2 linked regions of the Notamacropus eugenii genome follow. The protein of the gene in region 1 purifies or fractionates together with the protein of each later gene. This does not show direct contact. Links are inferred from orthologs where the notes say so. Each region holds a gene or a part of one and is shown on either strand. Other genes may lie near its edges.

What was found.
Region 2: the proteins of PLA2G4A (region 1) and S100A10 purify together in Homo sapiens (affinity purification with western blotting; 3 studies listed by BioGRID). This does not show direct contact. The link is inferred for Notamacropus eugenii from reciprocal best matches to the Homo sapiens genes PLA2G4A and S100A10.

Annotation. Positions count from the first base shown.
Region 1 is NC_092873.1:458,074,320-458,086,842, reverse strand, and holds the start of PLA2G4A (cytosolic phospholipase A2), read left to right. Parts: upstream 1-7,517; 5' UTR 7,518-7,623; intron 7,624-12,523. UniProt on the Homo sapiens protein: Has primarily calcium-dependent phospholipase and lysophospholipase activities, with a major role in membrane lipid remodeling and biosynthesis of lipid mediators of the inflammatory response.
Region 2 is NC_092873.1:305,907,713-305,920,405, reverse strand, and holds the start of S100A10 (protein S100-A10), read left to right. Parts: upstream 1-6,578; 5' UTR 6,579-6,713; intron 6,714-7,406; exon of another isoform or gene 7,407-8,806; intron 8,807-12,693. UniProt on the Homo sapiens protein: Because S100A10 induces the dimerization of ANXA2/p36, it may function as a regulator of protein phosphorylation in that the ANXA2 monomer is the preferred target (in vitro) of tyrosine-specific kinase.

The sequences.
Region 1 (12,523 bases):
CCTCTTTCTTTCTGTAAGCAAACTTTCCTCCTTTCAGGTTCACATAATATAAATTTCCCAAAACCTTCCACCTACTATACTCTGAAACTGGGACCCCAAGGGGCCCCTGCCAAGGGCTCCTGGACCCCCCTAGCTTCAGAGTGATTATCAATAGTAACAGTTGCTATTTCCCACCCAGCCTGATATCTTTGTTTTTCTGGGTCTCATTAAAGGGGTCATGCCCTGGCTACTTCTTAAACAGTCCTATTCAATGAATGGGTGTTGCCTCACCTCAAGTGAGTACCTGCGAACACCTTGGACTAAAGGGGCCAAAGTCTCTCAGTGCATCCTGGGTCATCTTCAGTGATCCTGAGGAATATCTGGTCACTGGATTCAGATGGCTGTGGAGAAGAAGTGAGGCCGGTAACCTGCACAGCCCTCCCTCACTCAAAACAAAGTCAAGTGCAACTCATGTCATCATTTCTCCGATGGCATAGTCTGCTTCAGCAACGAAGGACGAACACAAATATAAATCTACAACCAATCCAGATCTCTGTGACTATTATTTATAGATTCCCCAGTAGATCATTCATTTTCCTTAGAGAGTTCAGTACTTGACTCACAGTCTTTCCATCCTTCTATCACCTGCCCTCATACTAAAGGACTATAACATACATATTGATACACTATCAAACATCTTATTTCTCAATTCCTCAAACTACTCAATTCTGTGACTTTTTCTCCATTCTTCCTCAGCTTTGTACACAGAAAATCCCATCCTTCATCCACTTGTCACATGTTCCATCTTATTCATTAACTATACAATTCCCTTGTTTGATCATAATCTGATAGCATTTTTTTCTTGTGCCTTAGGGCCTTTTAACTTGTTCCTCATCCTCATCATGCCTTCCATTCTGTCTACCTCAGAGTTATTTAGAAGGTCATTACCTTTGCATTAGCTATCTTCTTTCTTCCTTATCCCCACCTCTTGGCTAACAAACTCAGTCCATAGTGTCCTCCACCTTCATGTCCTCTGCTCCTTTGTCCTATCACAGATCATTCATTGCTAAGCCCAAATTCTGGATTACTTCCATCATGTGCTTCCTTTGCTTTTACTCCTGTGCTGTTGAATAAAGCTGGAGAAAAATAACAAAATCATGTTGACTGGGTCCACAACAGATAGATATTATTTGATCTCAATTGGGTCCTCCTTTTAGCAACATAAATTCTCCACTCCTCTTCAGTTCATCTCCAGTTCTGCTCTTAAGAGCTTCTGTTCAAAACTGTCATACTATTTCACCTAGACTTCTCCTTCTCTGCATGTATATAGCTACACCCTCTTTGCTGTACTGCTGTAAAAGCTTTATTATTAATACTCTTGGCTGAGTCTCAACTATTCCAATCCATTATCAGCTTAGCTACCTGGGAGACTTTTATAAAGTGTAAGTCTGAGCATATGATACCTCTGCTCCCTGATCTCCAGTGATTCTCTATGACCAGTAAGTTCAACTACGAAATCCTCTGCTTGTCACTGAACACTTTTTCCTCACTTGTCTTCTTCCTACCTTTACAATCTTTTCATACCTAATGAATCTTTCCATGTTCTCTATGGTTCAGGCACACCAGTCTACCTGCATTTTCTCCAGCAGGATGCTTCATCTCCTCTCTCTGTGCCCTTGCATTGCATTGTCCCAGGCCTGGAATACCCTGTCTCCTCAGCAACACCCTTAAGTCTCCCCTGTCTTACTTCAATACCTCATTCAAAACCTTTATGTAGAAGACCTTTTCTGGTTTCTTAGACTGCTAATGCTTTCCCCATAGAAGTTACTTTCATCTACTCTGCATGTAACAAATTTGAATCTCCCTGGTTATTTACATGTTTCCTCCTTCTTTAGAATGTAAGCTCCTTTTAGGGCAGGCAGAATTTTTTTTGCCTTTTTTTGTATTCCCCAGCATTTGCCATAGTGCCTGACATATTTTGTGTCTGACTCTTCATGACCTCATTTGGGGTTTTCTTGGAATGATAATAATGGAATTGTTTGCCATATCCTTCTCCAGATAATTTTATAGATTAGGAAACTGAGACAAACCGGGTTATGTGATTTTCACAGAGTCACAGCTACTAAGTATCGGAGTATGATTTATGGATATGGATATGAGTCTTCCTGACTTCAGGTCTGGTACTCTAACCACTGTACCAACCCAGCTGCCCTAGTTGGTGCTTAATAAATGCTTGCTGCTGACCAGGAGACAAGTCTACCACTAGTCTCACGCTCAAAGACTTTCAGCCAGGCAGTACCCAACAGGGTTTGTGTTTTGCTGGTATAGCCTCCAATAATTTCTATTCAAACCTTGGCTCCCAAGAAGAGTTTAAAAAAATGCATCTCTTTCCCTTCTTTGAAGACTATGGGGTTTGGAATATTACATAAAATCTAAGATATGTTTGATGTGTTGGCTATTTTTGCAGAATTTTTTTCTTTTCTCTTTCTTCTTTAATCTTTGTTATGAAGAACGGATGGGTGAGCAGGAGAGAGGAGAGGGACGTATTCAGAAATGAAGGTAATGTAAATGTACGTTATTAATATAAAATGGATTTAAAAGATACTCAGGGTTATTTCTGTGTTATGATGTAATTAACGTTGGAGTAAGATATCCAGGGAGAAAGTGAATATTATTAACATGAAGAAAACCAGCAGCATTTTATCCACTCCCTAGCACACTGAATTTAAAGCTTTTTAAAAAATTAATTAATTTTTTTTTTCAGTTTTCAACAATCTCTTCCATAAGTTTTAAATTTTCACCCCCGCACCTGAGATGGCATGCAATCGTATATGGATTCTACACATACATTCTTATTAAACACATTTTCACTTTAATCATGATGCGTAGAAGAATTAAAACAAATGGGAGAAGTCATGAGAAAGTTCAAACCAAGCCAAAACATAACACATGAGAAAATAGTTGGCTTCATTCTGCATTCTGACCCCATAGTTCTCTTTCTGGATGTGGATGACATTTTGAATCAAGAGTCCTTTGGGAATGTTTTAGGTCCTTGCATTGCTGTGAAGGGCTGTCTATCAGAAACAACTCTCACACCCTGTGGCTATTACTGTGTATAACGTTCTCCTGGTTCTGCTCATTTCACTCAGTATCAGTTCATATAAGTCTTTTCAGATTTTTCTGAAGTCCTCCTGCTCATCATTTCTCATAGCACAATAGTGTTCCATTACATGCATATACCACAGCTTTTTCTGCCATTCCCCAATTGATGGGCATTCCCTTGATGTCCAGTTCCTGGTCATCACAAAAAGAGCTACTATAAATATTTTTGTGCATGTGGGACCTTTTCCAATTTTTATGATCTCTTTGAAATACAGCCCTAGAATTGATATTGCTGGGTCAAAGGGTATGCACATTTTTGTAGCCCTTTGGGCATAGTTCCAAATTGCTCTCCAGGATGGTTGGATCAGCTCTCAGCTCCACCAACAATGAATTAGTGTTTCAACTCTCCCACATCTCCAACATTTACCATGTTTTGTCATGTTAGTTGAATTTAAAGCTTTTGAAGTTAAATGAATCAGTACTTGGCTTGTTCCATAATTCTTCTTATGGTTTGCTGTGGAATTAGAACTTTAATGACTGTATCAATGGCCTGCTCTGGCAAAATTTGAACTTGTTAAAATTCATCTTCAGCATCCTCTATGTTTGTATGCTCTTCCCTAATTTGATGTCTCTGAAATTAATCCTAATTCTACCCCTACCTATCCTCTGTTGTGCTGTATCATGCAAATCAGTCTTCTCTAAATCATTCCAAGATTTTGATCTTTTTCATTTCTCCACTCATCAAAATTTACCCATTCTTTGTCCTGCCACCACAGGTCCAGTGATCTCTGCTCATGTGTTAGTGGACGGTAGTTAATGAGCCTACATTTGCCTATCTGCAAAATGGGAAAAATACTAGCACCGACCAATAGGGTTGCTGTGAGGATCAATGGCTTTACAAACTCTGAAGTCCCATAAAAGTGGGAAGTATTATTCTTCAGCTAAGTTTAGTCTCTAACACATTGGAAGCTAGTGGCCTGAGCTCACTATTTCAGGACATGTGGAATGATCACTGCTGCCCATCTCCCACAGCCAACACTATGTGTACCACTCACTTTTCCCTTTAATCACATCCTGTATCATATTGTTTACTGTGTTTCATATCTCTATGTCTTCTCTTCCTGAGTAGATCACAAACTTCTTAAAGATAGACAGACATTGAATTATATAACAGTAGTAATGCAGCGATAATCACACTTTTATACTTCTTTAAGGTTTGTGAAATACTCTTATTATAACAGGTTGGTTTTTTGTTTTTCTGTCAAGGCAGTTGAGGTTAAGTTACATATCCAGGGTCACACAGTAAGTGTCAAATATCTGAGGTCAAATTTGAACTCTGGTCCTCCTGATTCCAGAACTGGTACTCTATCCACTGTGCGACCTTGCTGCCCCTTATAAGAATGTTATGAAGAGGTATTATAAGTGTAATAGGGGACTGGCTCCTGGGGGCCCATTTCTGGGAGCCTGTCCAACAGATTTCTCCTGCTGTCAATTCACATGGTAGTTTGGCTGAGTCAACTTCTGAAAGCGTGTGATGAGGTGGAGGGCCCCAGCACTCCTCTACAGAGAATTTGCAGAAATTCTGCAATTGTTTCCTGTTTGTTTACTGAGTGGTGAAGAAAGATCTTTTGATTGGCTGCTGGGCTGGAAGTGAATATTCATAGAAAGGACAGTAATTAGTCAAATCAACTTCCCTTTTCCTTGATAGTAATCAAGGGAAAAACTTGCTTCGAGCCCCCAGATAGCAACAGAGGCCTCAGACCCTTATCTACGAATCTGGGCTTCTGGGTGGCCTTGAACATTTGTTAATTTTCTGTCCCTGTCATGTTTTAGCCTTTCTTCCTCTTAGGTGAATGAGTGTAGGGGTTGGAATGGACCAGACCAATGGTTTTAAACTCATCTAGAAACAAGGTCCACCAATCCATACATAAGATCCCTGTGGGTTGCATATTTACTTAGATTTAACATGTAATACTCAAATCCAATTCAATTGCAAGTCATGTCATCATCTTCCTGATGTCATGGTCTTCTTTGAGAACAAAGGACAAACCACACAATGTTTTGTTATATTTTAATTTATTTTGTAAATATTTGCTGTTTTATTTATTATTGAAAAATAAAGTTTAAATTATTTACTCTCTCATTACTATTATTATTATTATTTAATAAATAAAATTTAAATGAATTGTTTACTATTTGGTTAAATATTTATTTTTTGTTTGGACAGTGCTCCAGAGTGTTATGCAGCTCACTGGCCAGATTCTTGACACTTCCAGACTAGGCTGCAACTCTGTGCTTTGAAAGAGCCTCTAGATGTCTAGGAACTTGATTTTGTCCCATAGTTTGGCTAGCTAAGCCCAGCGAGAAGTGTAGCCCCAAGGAGTAACCTGAGGGATCCATCCCAGAAGTCATTTACCCCAGGCAGTCAAGGGACCAACCACTCCAGAGTAACTTGTTCATAAGCCACATGGCACCCAGAATGGACATTGATAGGGCAAAGTCTGGTGGCAGCACCTTAAAGTTGAGCTCATTCTCCACAGGGACTGAGGTGGTAGAGGGAAGACTATGTCTCAGTTAAAGGGAAGGTATTTTCCTTTGGTTCATGATAAATTTTCTCAGTAATTATACTGTTTTAAGAACTAGTTGATTTCAATTATTTATTGATGAGATTGAGAAGCTGTTAAGTGATATTGGGCTGCTAATCACTAGCAGTGGTATTGGCGGAATAAATTAGAATAGGGGTCAGATGATACCATTAGAACCTCTTGAGGTTACCCCTAGAATCCTTGAATAGAGTGGTGATGCAGTTGAGTTCTGGTGACCCAGCTCTTCAATACAAGGAGATCTGGTGTTGAGAAAATACGTCCAGAGCTTAAAGGACTACATAAGTACCCCGAAGGGTAGCGAAGTGGTGTAGTAGATATAGCACTGGGTCTAACGTCTGGAAGACCTGAGTTCAAGTGTGGCCTCAGATACTTACTAGCTGTGTGACTCTGGGCTAGTTACTCTACTATATTTGTCTCGATTTCCTCATCTGTAAAATGACCTGGAGAAGGAAACAACAAAGCAGTATCTTTGCCAAGAAAACCCCAAATGAGGTCACAAAGAGTCAGACAGGACTGAAATGACCAAACAATAGGTATCATGAAACCTATTTTACATTGTAGATATGGAAAGGTAATGTGATAGGAGTGACTAAAAAGTTAATCTAGAAACAAGGAAGAACTGTGTTCAAGTTATGTCTGATACATACTGCCTACTTGACTGTGTGGGTACCTACTTGCACCATGCCAATGAAATCTCTATTCTAGTGCCCTATTCTGCTGATGAAGAAACATGAGGCTCAGAAAGGTATAGGGACTTGCCCAAAATCAAAGGACTATGAAGTGTCAGAATTAGAGTCTAGACCCAGCTCCATATCCAGTACTCAACTTTGTGTCTCCCCCAGACTGAAGCATTTGATACTTGTTCTAGTTAAATTATATATTGAAATAGTCTTTCTTTCTTCACTTCTGCCTGAGGGAGGAAAGATAATTAGAGCAAAATAAAAGTAACGTTAAGTATGAGACCTCTACTCCCATTTTCTTTGCCACTTATACGTAATAAAACATTTCACCTTTCAAGGCATGCTGGTCAGTCTTCAGACCAAGACCTTATGAAATTGAAGATGTGATTCATCTTTTGAGAGATCTGTTAAATAGATTTGTAATGAACCCTCAAATTCAGCCTTTAATCAGGTTGAGAAACCAATCAAGAACAAGATAATAATCCAGGAATTGAATCTAGAAGCCCTGTGGCATTGGGGTTAACAAGGAATTTTCTTTGCAAAGAGTAAAGAAGAAAACACAAATGCATATTGCCACTGATTAAAGTACCAAATGGAAGATATGTGTTTGAATACGACGAATAGAAAGCATAATGTTTATGGATCCCACGTCATCAATGTGTGGCAGTCAGACTTTAATTCAACAGTGGACATTCTTCAGTATAGGGGCCCAAGTTTTCTGGAGTCAGCTTGGATGCTCTGAACTACTTAGGGACTTTGGACCAGTTTAAATACTCTATATGAATTGATTGCAGTTTGCTTTTTAAATTCAAATGACAGCTACTTGGCACTCAATTCAGATGTTCTTTAAAAGTCAAAATTATAATTCATTACTTAGCTATCAAGCTGCCTTGCTATATATAGTTATAAAAACAGAGGAAACAGGGGTTACTTCAAGGAACTCAATGGTAAAAAGAATTTGTTTACGTATATTTTATATTCTTGTGGGTTTTTTTTTTTTTGCATTGCTTCGACAACTTTTCTGGGTTCACAGGCTTCACATTTCTAGACTGCTTTTCTAATTCCCTGCTAACTTTTCCCCTTCTTCAATTCCACCTTAAAACATCTGCCCAACCAGCTAGACCAGCCCACAACCTAGCCCCTCCCACTTAGATGATTTTTTTAAAACTTGTCCATACCCAGGCACTGAAAAAGAAGCCTTGCAGAAAGCTAAAGGGATAGACCGATCTGAAGATTCTAGTATACATTCAAGAACTGTAAGCAACATACTTACTCTTCCTTTTTTTTTTTTTAAGAAAAAAATTCCATTCGTTGCTAGTTTGTTAAATTTGTCAGGATAGAAAACCGTGGAAGGAGGCAAAAAAAGGCACAAGTTTTTCAGTCTGCATGTGACTTGACTTTTGAAAGGGGAAGCAGAGCCTTGAGAACGCCTGTTTCTTTTTAGCAAATGTGTACTTGTTTTACGAGGTCTATGAAAAAGAAAATAATCAGAAAAGGTGCTTTACCTAGCTTGGAACCTTGAAAGAAGCTTTTAAAGAGCAGTTAAGGTAGTGCTGTACCACTTCCACGTGATTGTGTAGCCCAATGATTGCTGTTCCTTAAACTTTAGCACTGTGACTACTTGACAACTCAAAGACTCCTAGGAAGAGATGGATTATATTCTCTTATTTGATTCTCTCTGAGTTTTTCTTCTCTTTTCCTTGTTTTCTTCTAATTTCTTCCTTTCCTCCTCCTTCCCTCCCCCTTTCTCCCTTTGTTCCTCCCCTTCCTTTCTTCCTTCCCTTTCTTCCTCCCTCCCTTCTTTGCTTCCTCCCTTCTCTCCCTCCCTTCTTCCTTCCTTCCCTTCTTCCCCCCTTCTTCCTTTTTCCCTCCCTTCTTTTCTCCTTTCTTTCTTCCTTCCTTCCCTACTTCCCTCCCTCCTTCCTTCCTTCCTTTCTCTCTTTCTTTCCCTCTTTCTTTTTGTCTTTCTTTCTCTCTTTCTTCCTTTCTCTGGAAATTCCAGATGTTGCAACATGAAAGAAAGCAAAGATTAATGTAGGATCTGGACCAGTGATGTCATTGGTACTGTGAACTTTCAGGTGATGTAACTCTCTACCAATGAAGATTCTCTGCAATTTATAGTATGAGAATTGTCTAGAGCACCAAAAGGGTAAAGTGACTTATCCTGAGTCACATAGCCAGTACCTGTCAGAGGCAGGATCTGAATCCAGGTCATCATGACTTCAAATTCTTCTCTCCATCCATTATTTCACTGTGCCCCTAGACTTAAAATGATTTTGGCAATATTTGTTTATGATGGAATATCACCTATTAGTAATAATATAGATGGTCAAAACAATAATTGTAATCTGACTTGCAGTAACTACAGCACAGATAGAGATGTTTGAAGGAAGATGAATAACAACAATTTTGTAATTTGAGAGTGGAAAATGATTTAGGAATTCTATTTTGGGGTAAGGAGATTTAAGGAGGGAAAGTAGAAAAAGTTGTTTTAGAATGGAATAGGCAGAAGCCATGAAAAGGAAAGAGAAAAATATAGATTTTGTTTTGTGGCTGTTTTAATTTAATTTAATATTGTTTGCAGTTTGTTAGTTGCCTTTCACAATCAAAATTATTTTATTTCTTAAAAGAAAATGTAAAATTCTTTTCTTATTTGTGTTAGTTTGTTGGATTAGGTGATTTTCTGTGCATATGTTATCTTGCTCCATATGTATTCTAAATATAGGTAGAGATTTTTTTTAAAAAAAAGTAGCTTGGGACTGGATAAAGATAAAATACATTCTTTGGATTTCAAAATAAGTTGGATGATAATAGGAAAGACACAGGATTGGGGGTCTGACTAGTTAAGGTCTCATCCTGGTTCTGCCATTAATTTTTTTTTTGTGACATTTGCAAAACTATTTAATGAGTGTAAGCCTCAGTTTCCTCATTCGTAGAATGACATGGTCATATTAGATTAACATCTAACATGAATGATCTATGATTCTACATGATGTAATCTAACTTTACCACAACCTAGAATTATATTTTAATTTTACTTAAAAATAACCTTATCATAAAACACAGAAAAAGAAATTTGCACCTGCTATTGGTGGATGACAAAAAATGATGTATCAACTAAAGCTGGCAGAGCATGCTGGGATCAGCATTGCACCATTCATTTGTTCTGGAAGATGCTTTCTATCTAAAAAAAAATGAGTGTCTAAGAGATAGTAAAAATGCTCAGACTTCAGCAGCTAAAATATCTCACTGCTCCATGTAAAGCAGTTCAAACAAGATTAAGAGGGAATGTTATTAGGAAAACTGGAAATGAAAAATAACAACACTTCTTAGAAGGTTTCACATTTTAAGTAGCCCATATAGCCATAAGCAAGCCTGTTTCTCCAGTTCATTTTAGGTAAGAGATTGGAATCCTCCCCTTTAATGGAGCATTGTAAGAGTTAAATGGTAACTGAAGCAATTCTTGTGAAATGTATAGAGAAGTAAATGTTTAATCTGTATATGCAGAAAGCAGTTTACAAACTTCCTGTAGAGGAAGCACTTTTTTAATTGGAGAAAATAGAGCTCCTTCTGAACAATTTAAGTAATTTAAAAGTTTTTGACAAGAATTCTTGGTTTAGGGTGTTGGAGAAAAATTGTGAAGCAGATTCCTGAATCTCTGACAATGTTTAGTAATAGAAATAAGTGGTTCTTATTCCTAGCCAACAGTAAGTCCTGTTAGCCCTGCTTATCTACAGAGTGTGGTACTTTCAAAATTAGAACACTTTAAAGGCAGGGAGTAAATGGAATAGCTTAAGATTATATCCATTTAAAAATAGTTTGCAAGTAGAAAAGAGGAAGACCTAGAATTAGTTTGTGGTTCATTTTCCTTAGACATGTCTTACACTAGCCAACTCCTTTTTTTTTTTCCATAGCTTTAGAAAATAAAAACTAGAAGCTTTGTGTCATACGAAAATATTCTCCAGAATGTTTTCATGACACATTGAATTACTGAAACTTACAAAGAACTAGTTAAAAAGAACTAATGGTATGGAAAGGAAATTTTGACCCCAAATAAAGTCCTTAAAGGCCCCTCTTCCTCTTACTCATTCCTCCCAGCAGTGCAAGGGCTTCTTGTATTGCATTTTAGACTTTAGTGACACAGCAAAAAACAGGACTTTTTGATATTCTTCTTCTAAGTAGATCAGAGATTTGTGAAGAATAAACCCTCATAAACTGAGTACCACATCTTTAGAAATTTGGTATCTCTGTTAAGTGTATGTGGTTAACTGAAGTCACTTTCTGTGTACACATATGTAGGAGTATTTCCCTGCTTCAGAAGATGCGTGGTTTCCTGTGAGATGCTCTTTCTACGGATAAAGATAGCAACACCTCCACACCATAATAGATCTCTGATAAGACTTCACGAAATGCCTCTTAGGGAATGAGTGAAACCTTGAGTTAGGAGGTTGTAGGTTGGCACTGTATGACAATGTAACTTGGTGACTGGTGTCTTGTACTACTAGGAAGTTCTGAGTGAACGCTGTGTCAAGGCAGTGAACTCAAAGGGTGACAACGCAGTCATGGACAAGATGATATCCACAGATTTGGTGGGTATCTTTCTTTTTAGGCATTTTAGAAAGGTAGTATTATGCAGCGGAGAGAGGGCCAGGAATCAGGAAGGTCTAGGTTCATTATGTCTTGCCTGTGACATATGGCTGTGTGATTTTGGGCAAGTCACTTAATGCCTCAGAAAATCTCTAAGACCATAAGTTACAGAGAAGTTGTAGATTTCCACCAGGGAGAGAAGTTTCCATGTTAAGGTGTTTCAAATCTTGACGAAATATTAGGTCGAAGCAAAAAAATCATATTTTTAGAAATATATATATATATATATATATATATATATAGTTCTACAGATATAAGAAGCCTGCTAGATGAATGAAATTATAAATTATATATTTTTTAGCTTTCTGTTAAAAATATAACCTTTATTCTGAATTGTTCACCACAGACAAACCTGTTTTTTGCAATATAATACACTAGCATGTCCTACCGAGCATGATTGTCCAGTGAATTAGTGGGAAAGCTGTGAAAAACTGAATGTTTCTGCAGAATCTGTAGCCATCTGGTTCAACTGATACCTGAAAGGAATCCTACTTCCAAACAGTATACTTGACAAACAGTCATACAGCTTTTCCTTTTCCAAGGAGAGGAGACCCATTCCACTTTTGTGTTAACTTGCTTGGTAGCAAACTTTCATCCACTGAGCCTCAATTGGCTATTTTGCATTTTCTGGTCACCGCTCTTGGTTTTTTTTGCTGGGAACAAGCCAAATAAATTCAATTTCTCCTCCCTTGTTGGTCTTTCATATAATCATCCTGGTTGCTGCTCTGGAAAGTCACCAATTTATTAATGTCCTTTTTTAAGTCATGGTGGTTCTAATTAAAGACAATGTGGTCTACCCAGGGCCCAGTACAGGCTAATGTTGTGAATAGTGGGGTGGTAGAGAAAATTAAGCCTGCAAATTATGAAACTATAGATTCCACATTGGCATTGATTGGGGTAGGATGGTGATAACAATTATGCTGATAATGCCAGGAACCGAACCCAGAAAGAAGGCAGGGATTCTACCACTGAACAACTAATTATTGTACAGCAACAACAATTATAGTAACTTGGAGCACAAGAGAAAAAGGAAATCACAAGAATTAAAAGTCTACATAAAACTGTAGGATTGTAAGAAACCAGTATTCTCTGCTTGTATTCTCAAACCCTAAACAATGTTTTTCAAAACAGTTACTTTTTTTCCTTTTTTTATGTTTTTTTGGTAAACAGTATTCATTTAGACATTTTTATTTTTACACTGGCTAATTAAGTTGCAGAAATAATGGTATTAATTTGGTTTTTTTTGAGAGGATTCTTTCTCTGTGTCTAAAAGAGTGAAAGAGTGAGGCTGCTTAGCTATGATATCAAGATGGCCTTCATAAAATTTGATGCCTAGAGCTAAATTTTGATCATTGACAGTATTAAAAAATGTTTTAAAGGGTTTTATTAGTGATCTCTATGCTGAGGTGGAGAAGTTGGACTGATAAGACAGGATGACATGGAGGGACAGCATGACATAATTGAAAAAACACTGGATTTGGAGTTACAGAAGCTGGGTTTTGCTAGGGC
Region 2 (12,693 bases), about 150 Mb from region 1:
GGCACAAATCAATTGCTTCAATTCAACATTTATGAATAGCCTACCATGTGCAGAGCTCTATGTGAGCCATTAAGACATACAAAGTTTAGATAAGACTCAGCCTCTGCCCTGATGGATCTTAGGGTCTAGTAAAGGGATAAGACATAACCACAAGTAACTACAAAACATGATATTTTGAGATAAGTACTGACTTCCATGGTCCTCCAGGCATAGAACCTCATTGAATATTTGCTGGCAAAGACAGGAATATCTAGGCTAAGTACCTGAGACTCACACCCTGACATGATGTGTGATATGACCAGAACTGGATATTAGGAAGATTAGTCTTCCAAGTGATGGCAGGATGCCATTGAAAACTAGCTTCGCAGTCTCCTTTGCTTTCTGTTCTAACATAGGACCGCCCTTAGGACAATATTTGAAACAAAGGAGAGACTCATAAACATCCAGTTTTCCAAGAGGAATCCTCATGAGTGAAGTCAGCGTCACTGCTGCAGAGAGGGAAGCAAAGGGAATGCCGAAATCCAAGAGCAATTTTCCTGGCAATGGTCAAGATTAATCATGTGCTGACACTTCTAGGATATTCCCTGAGTCTGTTCATTCCTTTCTGATCATTCATTCCTTTGGGATGTCCCCTTGAGAGAAAAGTTATGTAGGAAAGAAAGCCCTAGGAATTAGTTCTGGGCCATTTTCCACCAGTACTTATTTGCCTGTAGCTTCTGAAGATGCATGCCTGAAGCACGACTAAAATAAAAATCTGCCTGATAGTGTTTGTGCTGAGGATTATAAGGGCCAGACTAATCTTCCTAACACCTGGTTCTGGTCATCACATCATGTCATTCCAGTCACTGCTCAAAGACCTTTGATGGCTCCCTGGGACCTAAAGAATCAAGTCCGAACTCAGTTTGTCATTTAAAGTCCTCCACGATCTCATTTCTTCTACCTCCAGACCTTGAGGCAAGTCATGTTACTGCTCTGAGACTCAGTTTCCTCACCTGTAAAATTGAGGGGGTTGAACTAGATCAAAGATCATATATTTAGGGCTGGAGAAGACCCTAGAGGTCATCTAGTCCTATCAATCCTCTCATTTTAGGTAATAGGCATTTATATTGCACCTACTACATGCCAGGCACTGCCCTAAGCACTTATTTTTACAAATATTATGTCAAATATTTTATAAATATTATTTGATTTTACAGAGGAAGAAACGGAGGTCCCACAAAGCTAAATTCCTGGCCCCAAGTCACACAGATAGTAAGTGGATTAAACCCAGGTCTTTTAACTTCAGAGCCAATTCTTTTCCCCCTACACCATGAGCTCACTAACCTGTGACTTCCAATCTACCTTGCCAGTCTTGTCACATGACTCCCTCTACAGATCCTATTTTCTGGGCAAACTCAGCTGCTTGCTATCCCCTCTATATGCCCATTTTCTCCTGATTCTGCCTTTGCTTGTGTTGTTCCCTAGGTCTTCTCTCCTTATCATCCCTCTCCACCACTGTTCATCTAATTGTGACTCATGCTTTAAAACCAGTGGTATGATAGTAAATGCTTACCAACCAGTTCTTCCCCTCAAAAAAATTGTGTGCAGGACATACTTTTAAGTGTAAATGTTTTTTCCAACACTTTTTAAGTTTAGATAATCAACAAAACAATAAATCAAGCCCGGATTGATAGTGCTTTCTAATTTTCAAGGTATAAAATGCTCATACTAAAAATTTAACAATCAGCTCTTGCTGGTGTATTCAAACCGGCTCCAGCATGACCCTGTTTAAAGCTTACTTGAAGTGCCTCCTTAATTATTAGAATTATGAAGATTTAGAACTAGAAGAGACTTCAAGATCAACTAATTCAACTTCATCATGCACAGGTGAAGAAATTGAGGCTAAGTGACTTACCTTGAAGCATTTGGGTAATAATTAACAGGTTTAGAGAAGGAGGGAGCAGCCAGGTGGTGAAGTGGATAGAGAGCTGGGGGCCTGAAATTAGGAAGATTCCTCTTCCTGAGTTCAAATCTGGCCTCAGATACTTAATAGTAATGTGACCCTGGGCAAGTCACTTCACCCTGCTTGCCCCAGTTTCCTCATCTGTCAAATGAACTGAAGAAAGAAATGGCAAACCCCTCCAGTATCTTTGCCAAGAAAACCCCCAATGGGGTCATGAAGAGTCAGACAATGAAAAATACCTGCAGAAAGGAAGTTTCACATTCATGCTGGCACTTTTTGTCTTAGCAAAGAATTAGTTGGGGAATGACTAAACAAATTGCGGTATGGGATATACTACAAAAAATATTAGACTGTACAGTGTTCTGCACACAATCTGCACCTAATGAACGTCTTTCATATTGAATTGGATTCAACAGGGAATAGTAATGGACTTGGAAAGATGGTAGGGGAGATCAAGTAGTAGCCTATATTCATGCAACTTCCTTCAATCAACAAATATTTAATTATTTCCATGTGCAAGACTGTGTATTATGTGCTGTGAACTGCCCAATGTCAGGGTTGGAAAGAACCTCAGCAGTAAGTTCATTAAACTCCTGTCTGAACAAGAGATGTCTGCAATGTCTCAGGTAAGCAATCACATAGTTCCTGTTCTCACGAAATGTTCATTCTAGAATGTATGAGATTGAAGTCCCAGTAAAAATCACCTGGGAGAAAGAAACCTGGAAATAAACACTTTCTGAATCAAAGAAACAGTTCAGAAAATACTGCTCTGTGTCCAGTTATCCTTCTTATCACCAGTATGGATGACTAGAATACCTCAGAAGAGGTAATACTAAGGAATAATTAGATTTTCCAGTCAGCCTCTTGTCAAACCCCCTTCAAACAATCCCGAACAAATTTCAAAAAGTCTGGTGGCTTACCAGCACTTTGAAGTGACTTTATCTGAAACCGTTGGCACTAGGAGTTATGATGGTGACATCCCACATGGGCCCACAGATGTTCCCCAATAGTAAATGGAGGCAATAAACTTTAGAAAGCCTCTTTGCCATCCGTCTAGCCTTAAAAAGGGCTACATGCTACTGAATACTGGCGACAAAATCAGTGCACTTTGTCCTGGTATGGTGCAACCATAACAGAGAACTTTTGTTGCCATAATCACCATCAGTGCTGTTACTCACAAGGACTGACACTAAAACTTCCTGAATGTCAAGCAGTGAAACTCTGGAATTGTCTATAGTCACTTAACATCTCCTGGTCACTGTTTCCCCATTCATAAAATGCACAAGTTTAGTCTTTATAATCTCTAAGCTCTAAAACTATGAGCTTATAACTTAACCAGTGGCAGCTGAGTGGCACAGTGGATAAAGTGCTAGGCCTGGAGTCAGGACTACTCATCTTCCTGTGTTCAAAGTCAGACACTTACTAGCTGTGTGTTATTGGGCAAATGACTTAACCTTGTTTGCCCCGGTTTCCTCCTCTGTCAACTGAGCTGAGAAGGAGATGACAAACTGCTCCAGGATCTTTGCTAAGAAAACCCCAAATGGTGTCACAGAGTTAGATATGACTGAAAAAGAACTGAACTGAAAATGATCTGACTATAAATCAAAAATAATTAAATTTACCAAAACTGATGTAGTACCCTTATATGAAAGTCTATCTAGCAGAGTGGACTTGGAATCAGAAGACCCAGAAAATGAAGATAACATTTCCAAGAGGTAAAATTGTATAAAGGATAGAGAGTTGATATCAAAGTTAAGAAAACCTGAGTTCAAATTTTACTGCTGATAGCTAATGGCTACTGATTAAGTAGCCCCCAGACAAATCTTTAAGACTGAAAGTGGAAGAGAAGATATAAATCTGCATTGGCAACAGAAATTCCTCAACAGGAACTCCCTATAGCAATGAAATCCGAGATCTGGCCAAAGAAATAAGAAGGTTGTTGTTGAGGAAAGGTCTACCTTGTTAGGTCCTCGAGTGCTATAAAAATGCTAGCTATCATTATTATTCTTTATTGAGTCACTGGAGATAGAAAGAAAAAGGAAGATCTGACCTTCAAGGGAGACTGTCCTAAGGGGACACAGATGAGCTTAATAGAAAGTATGATGTGATAGAGGAAAAAAAGAGCGATAATAAGATCTTAGATCTGGAAGAGGCCTGAGTAATTCCTCTGGTCCACCATCCTTATTCTATAGATGAGAGAACTGAGATCTATTGAGGTTCAGGAACTAGCCCAGGATCACACAAGCAGTAAGTGACTGAACCGCCATTTGAACTCAGATTCTTGAACTCCAAGTTCATCATCATGCTCTAGAGTGGGTGAGGAGTCTGAGCGGGGTGAATCAAAAAAGGCTGAGTGCTTCCTTCAACTTTCACCTCCAGTCTCCCCTTCATCCATAAGCTTTTTGAAGTTTCCCCACACTCCTTGTGCCTTCCCTCTGAGAAGACCTCTCATTTACCCTGTCTATATCTTATATGGGACATCTTCCTGAGTTCAAATCTAGCCTCAGACACTTACTACCTGTGTGGCCCTGAGCAAGTCACTTCACTCAGTTGGCCTCATCTGTCATCTATATTTCCTCATCTGTCAAATGAGCTGGAGAAGGAAATGTCAAATTACTCCAATGTCTTTGCCAAGAAAACCCCAAATAGGATCGCAGAGTTTGAAATGACTCGACAACAGCAAAAATATTTTATATGTACGTAGTTGTGTGTATATTCTAATTCTAAACTCTTTGAGAATAGGGATTGTGTTTCCCTTTCTTTGTTTAGTCAGAATGATGCCTAGCAAGACAGTAGGACTTAACATATACATCTTGTGGTTGTTTCTCATGGAGTAGGAAATTCCCAGGTTGAGACTTAATAGATCAGAAAGATTTCAACAGGGAGAGGAGAGAAGGCCCTATACCTATCTCAATACTTCAATGATGCTGTGATCTCTTTGAGGTGAGGGCTCCTTCCAGTGGTGCAAACTGAAACCCATCCACACCTTGTCCTCCTCTCTAACTCTAATCATGTGTTCACATAAATTCATCCAATAATCCAGGGCTCTTCCTCACCCTCTTTCCTTTTCCCCTACCTTTCTCTTCTTGACATTGTGTGGATACCGGGCTAGCTGTGTGCCGTCCCTCACTGGCTACACAACTCTAGACTGATATATTGCTTTGTTTGAGCATTTTGTAATACCTGGCAACCTCTGGCACCATTTGTCTCTCCGTTGCCTTTTGGGTAACCCATAATTTTGATTTCTTGGCAATTTTGGTTACTGTGTGAGTTTCAGAACATTGCTATTGGAATTGTGCTTCAGGGAGAAGTTGGAGATCTTAAAAGCACACAATTTCCCAAATTCAATACCAGCTCCTCTCCCCACTCCTTAGCAAACCCACTGCTTATTGAACTGAATTCAGTCCAATCAGCTCTCGTTTTCCTATTCAGATACAGGCTAGGTTCATTGTCCATTCACACTGTCTGTCCAAGATATAAGTACTAATAGAGCAGCTTGACGGGCTCTCTATCCAACCACACATTATAGTCTGGTCAACCGACATTCTACGTTACACGTAGTAGGCACTTAACAAAAACTTGCTGAATTGTTCATGGAATCGAGCTCATTCCAGGACAAAACCAGAATAAAATCAGGGAATATAGCTAGTAATCCTTTCAAAGATTTCGAAACTCACATTTTTAAAGTACCTACTAAAACTGAAGCTGAGACATCAGCCAAAGTAGAAAATGAAACCAACAGTAAAGAAAAGGCAAGTCTCCCATTAGGAAAAAGACGCTTAATGTATACATCAACCTAGGAAGTCAAAAAACTTCAGTGCAACGTAGTAATTATTTTATTAAGTGCTTACATTGTGCTAGACCCTGGGGAATACAAAGACAAAAACAAAAGCAGCTCCTGCCTTCAAGGAGCTTACTTTCTCCCAACAGCCGCGAGTCTCTTTTGCCATTCCCCTTCCCCCAGAATCTCTTCCCTTTCGCCCTCCTTGGGCTACTAAGAGGTTAAGAAAGTAAAAAGAGGTGGGCTGCATTCCTTCCTCTTCCTTAAGAATAAAGAGGGAAACCTCCGCTACGCAACAACACCCCAGCCAGGGAGGAGTCTGGCTTGGCTTCAGGGTTCTTGGAACGTATGTTCTTGGCACAACCCAAATCTTAACTAGATCCTAGCTCCCAGACAGTCCCACCTTCTTCCAGCAGAAGCAGCTAGGAAGAGGAGTCTTGGAGAAAACAATTCCCAGATCAGGATAATACCAGGGTGCATGTTACAATTGGTTCTGAGCCAAATGGCCCAGCCCACCGACTGTTGGATGCTTTTGTTTCCACCACCATCCACACAAGGAGAGAGCGAGGACACGCCCCTACCTCCCCCCACGTCCTTGTCTCCCCCACTATTTCCACACAGCCAGTATTCTAAAAGTAACTCAAGTGGGAAATGCACTGTTCTTGCACAGGGATGCCCTGAAACCTTCCATGGGGAAGCACATTCTTGCCTGAAGAGAACACAGGCGCGCACACAACTAGCGGAGGGAGGGGGCTGGAAAAAGTTAGAACCTGGGTCCTAGAGGTGGGAGGGAGAGCAGAAAAGGGAGGGAGGGTGAAAGGGGTGGGGCAAGAGGAGGCACTGTGCAATCAAAGCCTACTCCAGTCTCCCCTGCCCAGCCCCACGTTCCTCCCTCTCCCCCACCCACCCCAAGAAACTCCAAGGCTTATAGTGCTTGCTGCAGTCTTCTCGTTTCGTTCTCGCTGAGCTACTGCTTCTTGCTTAGGCAAGGTGAGTTCCTCTCTCTGCGTCTCTATCTCTCTGTGGTTATTTTGACCGCTTTGTCGTTTCCTCCCACTAAGGCACAGATGTGGGGAGGCACGAGCTAATTCAGCCACCTCAGGGAGCAGCCGCAGAGCCGGCTGCGCTACTCCAGGACCCCCAGGGCTAGACGAGCGCCCACTCGCTGCCCCTCCAGTCTGGAATTTCCAACTGCCTGGAACAAGGCTGCTCAGGACCAGCCCCGAGAGCCCGCCTTCCCTGATCGGGCTGCATTTCCCAGCGAGGTCAGAGGTTGAGGGTGTCCCGACCAGGAGGCGCCCGAAGCCACTTGCGGGTAGCTGTTCTCTGGGGAACCGCTGTTCCAGAATGACTGGGACCACACCCAGGGGCGCGCTACGGCGCGCCCCTTCCCGAGTCAGGGCTAAGTGGGTGCCTAGGCAGGGCAGGAGGTGAGACGCAGGAAGGGAGGGTGTCTGGGCACCTGGGACACCTGGGAGTTGGCATGCTGAGAATATGCCTAGAAGGATCCGGGCTGGAGTAGTGCCCCAAAACCTTTGGAGGAACAAAAGCGACTGACGGACGTTAAGTTGCCTTCCTTTTCCTCTCTAACAGCACCCTGCTCCCCGCCTCCATCTCCCATTCTCTCTCTGCTTTTTCTTGTCCTGCTGTCTATTTCCATTCTCCAATCACTCAGCCCCTTACCCTGCTGATCCTCTGGACGCTGGAAGCCATCTTTCTGGCAGTCAGCCTTCAGGCAGAGGTGGCCCAACTCTGGCCAGATGTTCCTCCATTATTTATTCCCAACAAAGTGCCAAGTGAGGCTGCCTTAGGAAATCCTCCCTGGGATAGACAGGCGTGAGCTTTGTCTGACAGTTCGGTCAGGGAAGCTTGGACATTTAGCCGAATTTAACGTGAGGCCATTCCCTGGGGTGCTACAACGCTGCTAGCTGGGTCGCTGCCTGGCTCCCCGCTCTTGATTTACACTCACGAGGCGTTTTCTCTTTCCTAGCTATTTTGGGCTGGGTTTCCTGTTGTTTGTGTGCTTGACTAGAAGGTGGCTGGCTGATCGTTACCCAGAGAGGAGAAGGGGAGACTGGGAGACGAGCAGAGGGATCTAGAGGAGGGCAGATAAAAAGAGATGGGGCAGGAATCAAAAACAATCTTAGAACCACCAGAGTTGTTTGTAAGGTAAGAGGAAACTACAATACAACTAAAGCATTTCCTCTCCCCAGGGGAAAAAAAAAATAAACTTTCCATTTCACCCTGACAAAGTTATAAAGTTAAATGTGAGAGGAGGGCAAAGAAGAAAAAAACCCAAATTCCTAAATCTCAAGTTAATTTTGCCCAATGGGAAAGAGATAAATAGACCCTGATACACAATTCTGTTGAGTCATATGTATAGCATTAAGTATGGTAACCTAAAGGAATGGAGAGGTGGTAATTCCAGACCTTATTACTGTACTATCTAAATTTTAATTCTGCAGCTAGGGGAATTCACAGCCATACTTTGGGGATATTGGAAGTAGAAGGACCAATTGGCCTGTTTGGGGTTGTTAGAAAATAACTGGAAGAAAGAAGTGGGAAGGGGCTAGATTCAAAATGCTTTGGAATGGGTGGTATCTATCACCTCACTAGTCACTCTAGGCCTAATGGCTTCCAGTGGCATATGTGAAGCACACTTTGTTCCTGGATTCACCTAGTGGTGGAAAGAAGGCAGAGTGATTCAGCAGCCAAGATGGTGTGGGTGTGGCCCTGATTCCCCACAAATTTCTCTGTTAGGGCAGAACTGTCCCTAAAGGAAAAGGGAAATTGCAATTTTAGAGGGCTTTCCCCAAAAGGAAGTCAATCAATGCCATACCTGAACCGTGATTTGAAAGAGGATCAGTTTGCTTCAATGCAGGGGCTCTGTAGTTGAGGACAGTTATAAAACTGATAGAGATCATGGCAAGGCTTCTAGATTATCATTCATTCATTCGTCATCTACTTAGTGAATGGTTACTGTATCTAGAAGGGGGAGAATACAGTTCCTGCCCTCACTTTTAACTAAAGTAGGGTTTGGTAAACAATTTTGCATCATGGACCCCTTTGGCAGTCACATGAAGTTTTTGAACATTCTTTTTAGAATAATGTTTTTAAATACATGGAATTACAAAGGAAACAATGCTATTGTAATACAGTTATTCAGTATTTTTTAAACATGCTCATGAACCCCAGGTCTAGTGGGAGACATAGGTACAAAAATAAATATCAAGTCCGCAGCAGCAAGATATGATGGAAATATCATTGATTTCGTGTTTCATTCCAAGCCCTGCCCTGTGTCCTTTTAGACAAATCATTCAACTTCTCTGGAAAGCAGTTGTTGAATCAGATGATCCATAAGGTCCTTTCTAACACTATGATCAAGAATCCTATTAAAAAGTAGCATGTGATTAGTATGTTACAGAGAAAGGGTTCAAAGGAGGGAGACATGACTTCTGATCTAGGAGAATAGGGGAAAGAAGACTTCCTGAACAGAGGAACTGGAGTTTAGCCTTGAAACATATCTAGGATCTTAGCAGGTAATGATGGGAGAGCATTTCAAGAGCAGAGGGCACATGTGTGTGAAAATACAAGATAAGTTCAGGGAACCAGAGGAGGCTAGCTTTGCAACTGCTTGTCGGAGAGATACACTGGCAGGTATTTTTTTCTGTTTGGAAAAGAGGTCAGTGGTTGGGTTTTTTTTTTCCCTCCAGTTTGAATTTCGATCTTTTAAGTGTTAGACTTCATATCCTGGGCTTGGGGTGAGGCCATACCCATGGAAACACTGTCTGGCAGTCATAACCTGATCTTTGCCTCCAACGTGTTTCAGCAAATTGCGAAAGATACTATGGTGGGTGGGGGAGAGGAATGAGTTCATAATTCATTTCAGATTTCTTCCTCAGCCCCACCCCTGCTGATTGCTATCCAGTTTTCATCCTCTTGTAAGAAAAAAATACTTCCCATTTGCAAGAGGTCAGTTTCTCACTGCATAAGTATCCAGTGTATAGAAGTTTGGGGGGAAAGTCTGAAATTAACCCTGATAGCCGGCTGGAGTGGACTCACATATAGTTGGACAAGAGAAATCTTATTAGGTGATACTTTTTGCAGGATGTTTCAATTAATAAGGCAACCTCTAGCCAATTCTCTGGTATGGTATCTCTGACCCTAAATTGGGTGGGGCTGAGATTGGGTGTGCCTTTGCTCAGCTCAAAAAAAAAAAGCCACTTTATAAGAGTTTGGCCACTTTGAGTAAACTTGGATCCTGAGTGAACAGTCCCATTGTTTCCATTCTATTCTGCATATGTTAGCATTTTGAGCTCAGTGAAATGCCAGGGTATTCAATGATGTATACCATAGTCCATCACCACCCCTCTAACAAAGGTTTTCCAGTACTTAACATCCCTCTGCTAAGCAGCTCCCACCTGCCAACCTTCAGATGAATTGAATATCAGGGAGTGGTACAAGTCAGAATGCAGATACATAACAAATCTTTGGAGAAATATATATGCTGATGAATAACTGATATTTTTGATTTAGTTCAAAATTAATTCCTCTTATTGAAATTTCAACTTCAGTATTTCTTCCAGTGTGCTTCCTCTGCTGCTGAAAGTTTTGACAGCCTGATTTGTGCAGCAGGGCAGGAGTTAGATTGTACTCAGACTCATTCAATCAATCCAATTTTTCTGAACCCCTAATAGGCCTCCCTGTAAAAGACCAAACTCCAGAGTTCCTTCTAGTTTCAGCTCTGGAACCATTACTTTATGACTTCCCAATGACAAAAGCAATAAAACCTCAACCACGTTAAACGGCTTTGTTTTTGCTGAAATGCTGCCAACCTCAGGCTGGGCTGGGTGGGCTGCAGTAAAAGAGGGACAGATGAAATGTGTGAGATGAAAAATGGTGATGTGCTTATGATTCCTATTTAAAATTAGATCCTGAACGAGAGCCCAAAGTTGGGTTTTGGGGTTTTTTGTTTTGTTTTCTTTTGTTGTATCTTGGTTTTGAGCTGGGGCATTGACTCTTCAGAAGTACCTTCCAAAAGAAGCCAACAGTCTCTTTTAATTCCCACTGTTTCCAAGAAGTAGATGTCCATTCATTTCATTTGAAGCAAAAGGATTCATTAAATGTAGTTCTGATAACCTGAAAAGAAAAACACTCAGGACTGTACCCTTCAGTCTAAGAGAGGCAGGGCTGGCTACAAGAAATGGTATCCAAGGATCTGGGTTAGTATCCTGGCTTTTAACTGTGTGACCTTGGTCAAGTCATTTCCCTTTCCCATGGCCTCACTTTCCTCACCATTAAGAAGAGAATGTTGGACAAGACCTCCAAGACCTCTTCCAACTCCAAATCTATGGCAAACAGTACAGAGCATACTGGCCACAACAACTGAGGAATATTAAACAGATGCAGAATGGACAGTAAACATACAAAGGTTCCAATTAGTGCAAACAATAAATCCTCTGAAATGTTCTCAGCTATTGAAATTCTCAGTATTTAAAGTAATGTATGTAAATATGTAAAATATGATCTTTGGTTCCAGACCAATGGAAATATACCCCACTTCCTGGGGTAAGGTATGATTCTTCACACTTATAGGGACCTAACTCTATAGACTAGAGGATTTGATCTTGTATAGATTCCTACGAAGATAAAAAAATTCTAAAGGAGAAAGAAGTGTGAGAAATTTTAGAGAGAGTAGAAAAACAAGATTAAAAGGAGGAAAAAGCAATTTCAAGGGTCTAATCAGACCTGTTTTGCAGGATTCATATTTTCCTTCATTTCTGGAATGTGTTTTCTCTGCCTGCCATCCTGGGGCCCTTCCTTTCTCAGCTCCTCCCTTCTGTTACATCTGGTTCAGACAGTTATGGTACTTTAAGCTCCATCTAGTGGTCTTCCTTGTTTCTCAATCTTGACTAAGGGGCTTAATAGAAATGCTCCCCTCCTACTGGGTTCCATAGTAACAGTTTGAGAGTTCCTTTTAGATTTGGAGCCAAAAGCTTGGGGTTCATATCCTAGCCCTTCTGCTGTATTGCTGGATCTCCCTTGGGGCCTCAATTTCCTCCTCCAGAAAATAAGGAAACGAGTTGATGAGCCCAGGCTGGCATAGTGGAAAGAGGACTGGATTAAGAATCAGCTTCACCATGAATCTTGGTTTAGCTGTTAACTTATGAGTGTAATGTTGGACAAGTCACATTCTGAGGCCTCAGTGTCCTAATTTGTAAAATGGAGGTGGAATGAGTAACTTCTGAGCTTCCTTCAAATTCTATACTTCTAAACTAGACAAGGGCCCTTCTTCAATCCCTATGACCATTTTCTGTCAGCTACCTTTAGAGTCTGTTTCTGGGTAGGATTTGAGTTTTCAAAATAAGATGGAGGAGCCCCACCCTGTCTTCCATCCAGAGTAGCCCAGCCTGGGAGGATGGCTGTGCAAATGGAAACAGAAGACTCACTTCCTCTAAAGTGCTGCCACCAAACTCCAATCAGAATTGGAAAGGGTCAGTTTGCCTGAGCCCTGCCCAAATGGAGAGGTTTTAAATGAACTGATTCAGACTTTGCAGCTGCCGGAGAGGGAAACAAGAGGGGCCCCCAGCAAGAACTGCAACTTTTTGGTGATTCATTCATTAGCCAGAGGACAGCTTAAGGCATGAATTTTCCTCTACTTTATTGGTTTTGGAGTTGGTCAGCCCCCTTCAACATAACACAATTACCCAACTGTAGTCCTTAGCCAACTCCCACTAAAGCCATGGTGAACGATTGTATTCAAAAATGCAGGCCTTTTGTTTCAGGAGTTCTTTTTTCATTTCATCATCATAAATCTCACTTTTCTGCTTTTTCATAGGAAAGGGGGAAGGGGAAGCAATCAGCAAATTGCTAAATTCTCAGTGCATTTGCTGAATTAAAAAGCTACGGGGAAGGAAGACGGGCAAATTCCACTTTGGATATTTTCTTGACGATGTGACCAAGTCACTTT